Linked DNA regions of Drosophila melanogaster. The gene in region 1 interacts genetically with each later gene. Each region holds a gene or a part of one and is shown on either strand. Other genes may lie near its edges.

Region 1 (3,758 bases):
TTGATACCAGGGGCTCCGGGATTGCCGGCGGGTCCCTGGACTCCGGGTACACCAGCCTGACCATGAAGACCAGGCGATCCGCGCTCACCCTTATCACCACGCTGTCCGTATGGGCCGGGATCACCCTTCTGACCCTTGTCACCAGATGGTCCCTCCATGCCAGGGAAACCCATTTCGCCCTTCAATCCCGTGGGTCCAAGAGGGCCCGGCAGACCACGGTTGCCCTTCTCCGCTATGCACTTGGGCACACAGCCCGCATATCCGGCCGTACAATTCTTGGGCGGCAGATCGCCGCGCGCCACGCCGGCAGAGTCTACAATGTCGTAACTGTCGTCGATTGGGAACTTGGGTTCATTTCGATTGTAGTGTTTCACGGAGTCCTGAATCGAACCGGCCGTACCAGCCGTCTTCCAAAATTGCTGCGGGGAAAAGGAGTATATTATTCAATGTCCAGATGGATGGCATGGGCTACGGTTATCTTACAGCGTCGGCACCGACTAACGCTCCCGCGATCACAGCGGCGTATAGCAGCCTGCAAAGAAGTCGACGAAGATCAGGAGGGTTAGGAACTGTGCTTCGTCTTATCAGTCTAGCTATTTAATTGGACATAGCTCTCTTCGATTGGCAGCTCTCTCTTAAGCCGTCAATTCAAGAGAGTTTGCTAAAGGCGCTTAAGAGAGAGCTTACAAGTTTTTAAGAGATCGCGCTTCGAAAAATTAAAAAAAAATTGAACAAATGTGATGTTTTAAATTATGTATTTTTGTATTGCTGATATCTAAAATATTAATTTAAAAACTAATATTTGCTCTTTCTGAATGGATTAGAAAGAAAAAAATTGGCAATACTTTTTTAGGCCATAACTGGGTTTTAATCATTAAAAATTTCAAAAAAATTTTAAATTTTTAAATAGAGTATTATTAGTTGTTAAGTAAGTATTATTGTCATGGTTTTTAATAATTAACAATTGCTTTCTTTGATTAACTTAAATTTTTGCAACCATTTGTATTATTTTTCTAACTTTTGTCATTTTTCTTACCGCTTCCAGAAGGGCAACATGATGCCCTATGCACTTAAGCCTGCACAATTATTTGCTCTGTCCTCGTCGAATTTGAAGTTTATATGTTGCCGTCGCTGGGCCTGGAAAGATGAGCCAGAGAATTGGGCACTTTAATTTCGCAACAGTTGCAAAATAAATTGGAAATATTCTTAGAGGAATATTATTTTATTTAATATTTGTGGGAAAATCGAGCTGGCTTATTTTTTTTCAACGATTTAATTCTTGTATTTCGTTTCATTTCATTTCCAAGCATATACACGCGACAGTTTGAGAGGCACTGGAACTGGTACGAGACTCGCACAACGACTTGCTGGATATTTTCAATTAATAGTACGCGTTCTTCCTGATTTAATTAAGATATTTTATGTTTATATTATTTTGTTGTTGTAAAAGCTCAGTTCCTTACAGGAATCAAATCCTATTTAAGGGACGGTTGGACGGGACGGGACGGGACCCTAATGGAAACACACATTCACAACCGAGCGATCCGATCCGAACCGATCACCACTCCACAGCGCTGACTAAAGACTAAAACCAGCTGGCCAGATCAGCTCCGGACCGAGACCAGACTACTACTTACTCGGGGAGACGGAACACGACTAATTATAGTATAAGTTCGAGCGATCCAAAAGCCAAACGCCGATGCCCCGATCTTCACTCGTCGATCGTTCGGCTTGGCACGATCTCGACGATCGGGTCTACGGCTCATGTACACTATCCGTGTGATTCGACGGGGATTGGATGGGCATCGGATCGGTTGCGATGGCTGCGAGGTGGCTGGTGGGAGGTGGGTGGTGGCACCATGGCATATAGAACGGATGGGCGACGGGTCGTCGTATGTAGCAACACTAATCCCACAAGTTAACATAGTCGCTGCGGAATGAATGAAACTTGGCGATAAGTCCGTCGCTGCTGTTGATATGCCACATGCGACTTAAGTTGCTCAATAGCACATCAGCTTCGTTCCGCCGGAGCACCTCCCCGGGAGCACCTTCAACCAGCTCTCCGGCTCCCAGATCCCAGCTTCCAGATCGCAGCTACCAGCTCCCATCTCAAAATTAGCTGATAGCCCCCGCCCTGAGATCGGGCACATGGCTTCCGTTTTGGTCCGCCCCTGCGGCTCCTGCTTTTTGGACTTTTTTCGGTGCTCGGGCAAGGGAAATTCCGAAGGCTTCGCTATCAGGCCAATGTTCTAATTATAACCTCATCAAAATTTTGTGTGTACTTACAATAAGTATGATAAAAATATCTAAAACTTAAAGGATAACAAAAACATGTGTAAACATTTTATTGGCATATACTTTACTTTTAATAGGATTATAGTCCTTTTCTAAGTTTTAAAAATATTCTCTAGCTTTCAAAACTGATATAATTAATTTGACAAAGGTTTTGAAGATTAAATCTCTTTTTAAGCTTTACTTGGTATATTTTTATTTGCTATATATAACTGATTATTCAAATCATTCCATTCTTTTCTAAAACAAAATATTTTAGTTTGATTGATTTTAGTATGTCGATGCAATTATTGTTTCAAAGAATGGTCTTTTTTCGATTTTTTTTGTATCTATCTACGCTTTATTAAAACTAAATGTATCTTAAATGAAATTTCATTTTAAGTGCCAAGTTTTATACATACTTAAAATAATTATTGTTATTTAATTAATAATAATTATTGAGATCCATTCATTTTGATAGTAAGTACGACATAATACTTACTAATACCGCTCTAAACATAAATTAATAAGATTTTAAGTTGCCGAAGTGCGACATCATTTAATATCCTAATCACAGCAGTTTCCTGAGAAGACATATATTCAGGCCACTGGGCCATATCCGACTTGCACGTACCCTAGAACAAAAGAGCTTTCCCAACTAGAACGAGGCCTTGATTATAGCCGCCCTATCAAGACTTATTTCAAAACACTGTGGCCCCGAAACCCAAAATCAGGCTCGAATTTCGAAAGGTTCCCATTTGGCTTTTCTGCGTCGGACTTATTGGAGCTTAAAACTCATGTTCGGTTTTCAGTTGATCAGTAGTTCGTTCTAACAGGAAATACTCAGCCATATCCGTCTTATCAGCCTCACATATGCCATATATGTAAGTACTAAATGAAAAAGCCTTAACCTAATCACGAGAAGCGCGACAAACAAACTAGCATCTAATTGTATTGAAATCACTAGGATAGCTGGGATTGAGTATTAGAATAGCTTTTACCCCGCAAGAAATATCGTGTGTCGCTAGTTGGAACTATCATTTAAGTTATATGCGGATGGTTATTATGTATAAATGGTATGTGCCTGTTAGTAATAGTTAGTAATAGTAACATTAATTAATAAATTATTTAATAATTTGTATTTTCCCAAGAGACGTGCCTAATAAAAAGAACAAAGTGAGAATCTGATTGATCATACCCCTTCAGGGATACGGTACCAAAATGGGAAATAGAATTTGTATGCTTAGAATCGGGCCGCTTTGATTTGGTTAGAGGGCTCTGCTCCTCATTTCCTCGTTTCAAGGCGTCAAAGTGCTAAATTCCGAACCATAACCAGAGCCCGGAGTCACATCTACATCCAAACCTCCATCCAAATCTCCATCCAAAACATCCATCCGGGCCTGTCCCTGGCCTGTGCCTACTACACTCACACTGCTGCAACTTCCACTTGCGATAGTATTGGTGGGCCGAGAGCCGATCGCGAACGG
Region 2 (3,758 bases), on another chromosome or scaffold:
CCCAGGACATGACTGGACACGATTTGTCCTCAATTCAAACCGATGATTTATCGCTCAAAGGCCAGACGGAACCGGAGCTGGATTGCTCCATTGGATCTCATGGATTCTCTGGATCTCAAGAAGAAGGCCACGAATAACGACAATGAGAAGTAGACTGTTGTAAATTATCTTAAATTAAAAATATTTAGTCGTCATTTAATTTCGAAATTCCTTTAAGCCAAACGCTTCGATTTGGAATCTAAATTTACGATACAATAATAAACCTTTAGTCGATTTCGTCCATGATGGAAATTTTACAACAAATGCATTACACTCATTTATATATAATATTTATATAATCGATAAAAAAGATCGAATATCGAATTTATGAATCATTTAAGTAATTTCTTCGAAGCAGTTAGCATTTCATTTCCAATTGTTTACACTCAAACAAATAATTAACGACTAAAATGGCATGGCCAATGCCATAACAATTTTTCAAATTTATGTATTATTTATGGACTGCATGGTACGATCTGCTGCGATCGAAATGCTTCTGAAAATGCCAAAAAAAAGGGGAAAAAAAATTAACTCAAAATAATTGTAAACAGTAGTGCGGCAAACGAAAATCAGGGAAAAACATTAACAAGCAGTTGTTCCATAAATCCAGGACGCAACTGGATGCGTAGATTTATATGGAAGGGGTGAGTAGGAGGGAGGGTAAACAAATCGATTCACTTGGAGACCCCGTGTGCCAGGTAACATATACTACTACATGCTATATATAATAGATATACCATCTATATGTATACATATGTATGTACCCACTAATTGGAATGGCCGTGGCTGATGAAAAGCAGACGCACCCGGTTAATCGGGCTGTTTCACTTTGATCGGTCCAGTTTTCTCGGCTTCCCCGGATCTCCATCTCCGCTGGGCCCACATTCCGGGCTCCAATGGCCAACAGACGCCATTTTCGACCGCCCATCTCACTCCCTCTTGTGGCGGAGGTGGTGGCCGCCGCTACACTGAGCGCAAATGTTGCTCACAGCTAATTCAAATTTCGTATGAAAAATTAGCAGTAATCCTTTTTTTTATGTATTAAGTATTAATTCATATTCTCTTCGTATTTCTTATGTTTAATGCAATTTTTTCCAAAAACTTATGATTATTCCAAATGAATTGAATTTTTTGGGTGCGCCTTGCCAACGTCTTAATATTCCGTTTTCCTTTTTACGGTTTATTTAGTGTCGAGGTTATGGCGCAATTTGTATTTATGGCCAACAGCAGCAGCAACATCTCGGCTGCACTGCAGCATTGAGCGGAGCACCGCGAGATCCACGAGCAACCAGCACCACCATGCGTGCGGCAGTCCAATTAAAAGCGTTTTCCAAATGAGGCCCATGACTCTGGTCGGCCACCCACTCCACGGGCCACGCCCACTGATCAGCGCGCCCCCCTGAAAAAAAAGAGAATGAAGAAAACAATATGCAAAAGTGGGGATCACCTGCTCCTCCTCCTTCTTGATCTTCTCCACCGCCTGCTGTTTATGGTCAAAGACCACGCCCCTTCAAAAAAAAAAAAAAAAACAAGAGAGAAGTAAACAGTGGAGCAGAAATTAGTGAAACGTGTGGAGAGTACAGTGATCTATATACTCTAAAGGATACCTCTATACTATTTACATGCATTAAGTTATTAATATGATCAAATTAGATTACATAAATATAACTATGTTAAGCATAGTTTGCATAAAACCAAACAAAGAGTTGCAGATAGCAAACCCCAAGTGTTCACCAAGTTCTAGGCCTCACTGTAGCCACATCTGGTAAATGCCTTGCGCGCACCCTACGCTCAATTCTGCGCGGCATATTCATCCACTTGATACTAGGCTAGATCCCAGGCGAGCCAACACATGTCGGTGCGATCCAAGGAGGAGTAGAAGGAGGAGAAGGAGAAGGAGGAGGAGGAGGAGATGGAGGAGGAGGAGGTGGCCGTGCGGCCATTGGTGGATCGATTGGTGCGGCTGGCGAGTCTAAATTTGGATGCTGCGGCCGGCGATTGGCGGATAGATTTCTCGATTTGGGGAGATGGTCCGTACAATGCGGCATCTTGGGATCTCGAGAGGCAGCGATGCATCTGCCCAGCAGCAGCAGCAGCAGCAGCCGCAGCAGTAGTTGTTCTCATTCGGCGGACCAGCGCTTGACGGAACGGATGTGTGCGTGATCAGAGATCTAGGCATCCAGAGATCGCATTCGAAATCAGATCAGATCGATATATCCGCGAGATATAAACATAGGATACTATACGGGATAATCAGTTCGCACTTGGCCGGAAGAAGGTGGCAATTGAGACAACTCAACGCTTTCTGCCAGTCGAATTAGAAAGAAAACAAATAAAAGAAGTTCAAGTCAATCAATCAGCTAACACAGGGAATTAAAAACAAAAAACAAAAAAACAAAAAACAAAAAACTACAATCGGGCAAATTTTCGCCAGTCAACGCGATCGGGCCATAAAAACAATTCGAAGAGAATTAATTTGATTTTTCATTCGATTCTTGAACTCGATCTCGATTCTGATTGACAACAGCGAAAGGTTGGCGTTGGATTTTCGCACCACTACATACTTTTTTTTTGCAGTGCACAGTGAGTGAGTGAGTGAGTGAATGAGTGAGTGATTGTGTGTGGGTGCAATAATCAAATTTGACAACTGCGCGAATAACGTTCGAGATCAAAACAAATTGTGCCGGAATAAATGGAATAAATGGGCCAAGAACTCGCTGCGATTTCCTTTCTTCCACTGTGAGCATCACATATCCAGCCATCATATATATATATCATATATATATATATTCCAACGATCACGCTCGCCATGACGCACCTGATGGGCCCCACTGAGTGCGCCGGCGCCATGATGACCACCACATCCATGCAGTTCCTGGACACCAGCCTAACGGACTACAACTGCTATGGCAACGACTACTGGACATCGCCGTACATGACCGGCGGACTCAGTCCCATGAAGCAGATCGAAGGTGAGTCGTTTGAGTTGACTTAAGCTGGAGAGGATTAGGCAACTCTACCGCGGAGTATTTTAAATCGGATATTAAGATATTAGGTTGTGTACCTTTAAAAGTCGCAAACAAGCATACAAGTAGATTTTTAATATGTTATAACTTTTGCATGAACTTTTACTTTTGTTTAGACTTTTAAGTCCTGTAAAGTATATTTTTTTTTTACTATCTGTTTCAAAACTTAAACTAGAAAATAGGCTTTTAGTTTATATTAGCATACTACTAGTTAAACATATTTTTCCAAGATTTTATTAGCTTTACCTTTCAGTTCAATCGAATGTACAACTAAAACTTCTTAAATTCAAATATATGCTTTAAATATTTATCAAAGAAGTATCGCGTAGCAAACAAAAGGCGAAGCAACAAAAAAGTCATATTTTCCATTTGACTATTCGATATTATGTTTTTTGTTCAAAAATCAGGCAATGGAATTTTGCTAGCAAACAAATGTATATATTCCATATCATTTGTCTGCCTGCAAGTGACCCAAAAAACTGAAATGGAATCCGTTTGCGATAGAGTAATTAGCAAAATACACCGAGCATGGCAGCGGCGGCACAAATGACATCCAAAAGTTTAAAAAAAAAAAAACTGAGAAACTGAGAAACTGAAAACCAGAGAATCGGAAAACCAAAAGATCAGAAAACCAGAAAACCCGATCAATTAGCTCAGAATTCCCGGATCCCCGAGATTTCAAGTGGCATTTCT

Evidence for each region.
Region 2: of Col4a1 (region 1) and org-1, changing one suppresses a phenotype caused by changing the other (phenotypic suppression), as found in Drosophila melanogaster (one study listed by BioGRID).

Annotation. Positions count from the first base shown.
Region 1 is NT_033779.5:5,027,516-5,031,273, reverse strand, and holds the start of Col4a1 (collagen type IV alpha 1), read right to left. Parts: upstream 1,666-3,758; 5' UTR 1,528-1,665; exon of another isoform or gene 1,464-1,527; intron 1,138-1,463; 5' UTR 1,057-1,137; coding exon 1,037-1,056; intron 533-1,036; coding exon 484-532; intron 420-483; coding exon 1-419. UniProt on the Drosophila melanogaster protein: Collagen type IV is specific for basement membranes.
Region 2 is NC_004354.4:8,453,385-8,457,142, reverse strand, and holds the start of org-1 (optomotor-blind-related-gene-1), read left to right. Parts: upstream 1-2,073; 5' UTR 2,074-2,848; coding exon 2,849-3,011; intron 3,012-3,758. Other genes in the region: CG32713 (uncharacterized protein), read left to right, coding at 1-137.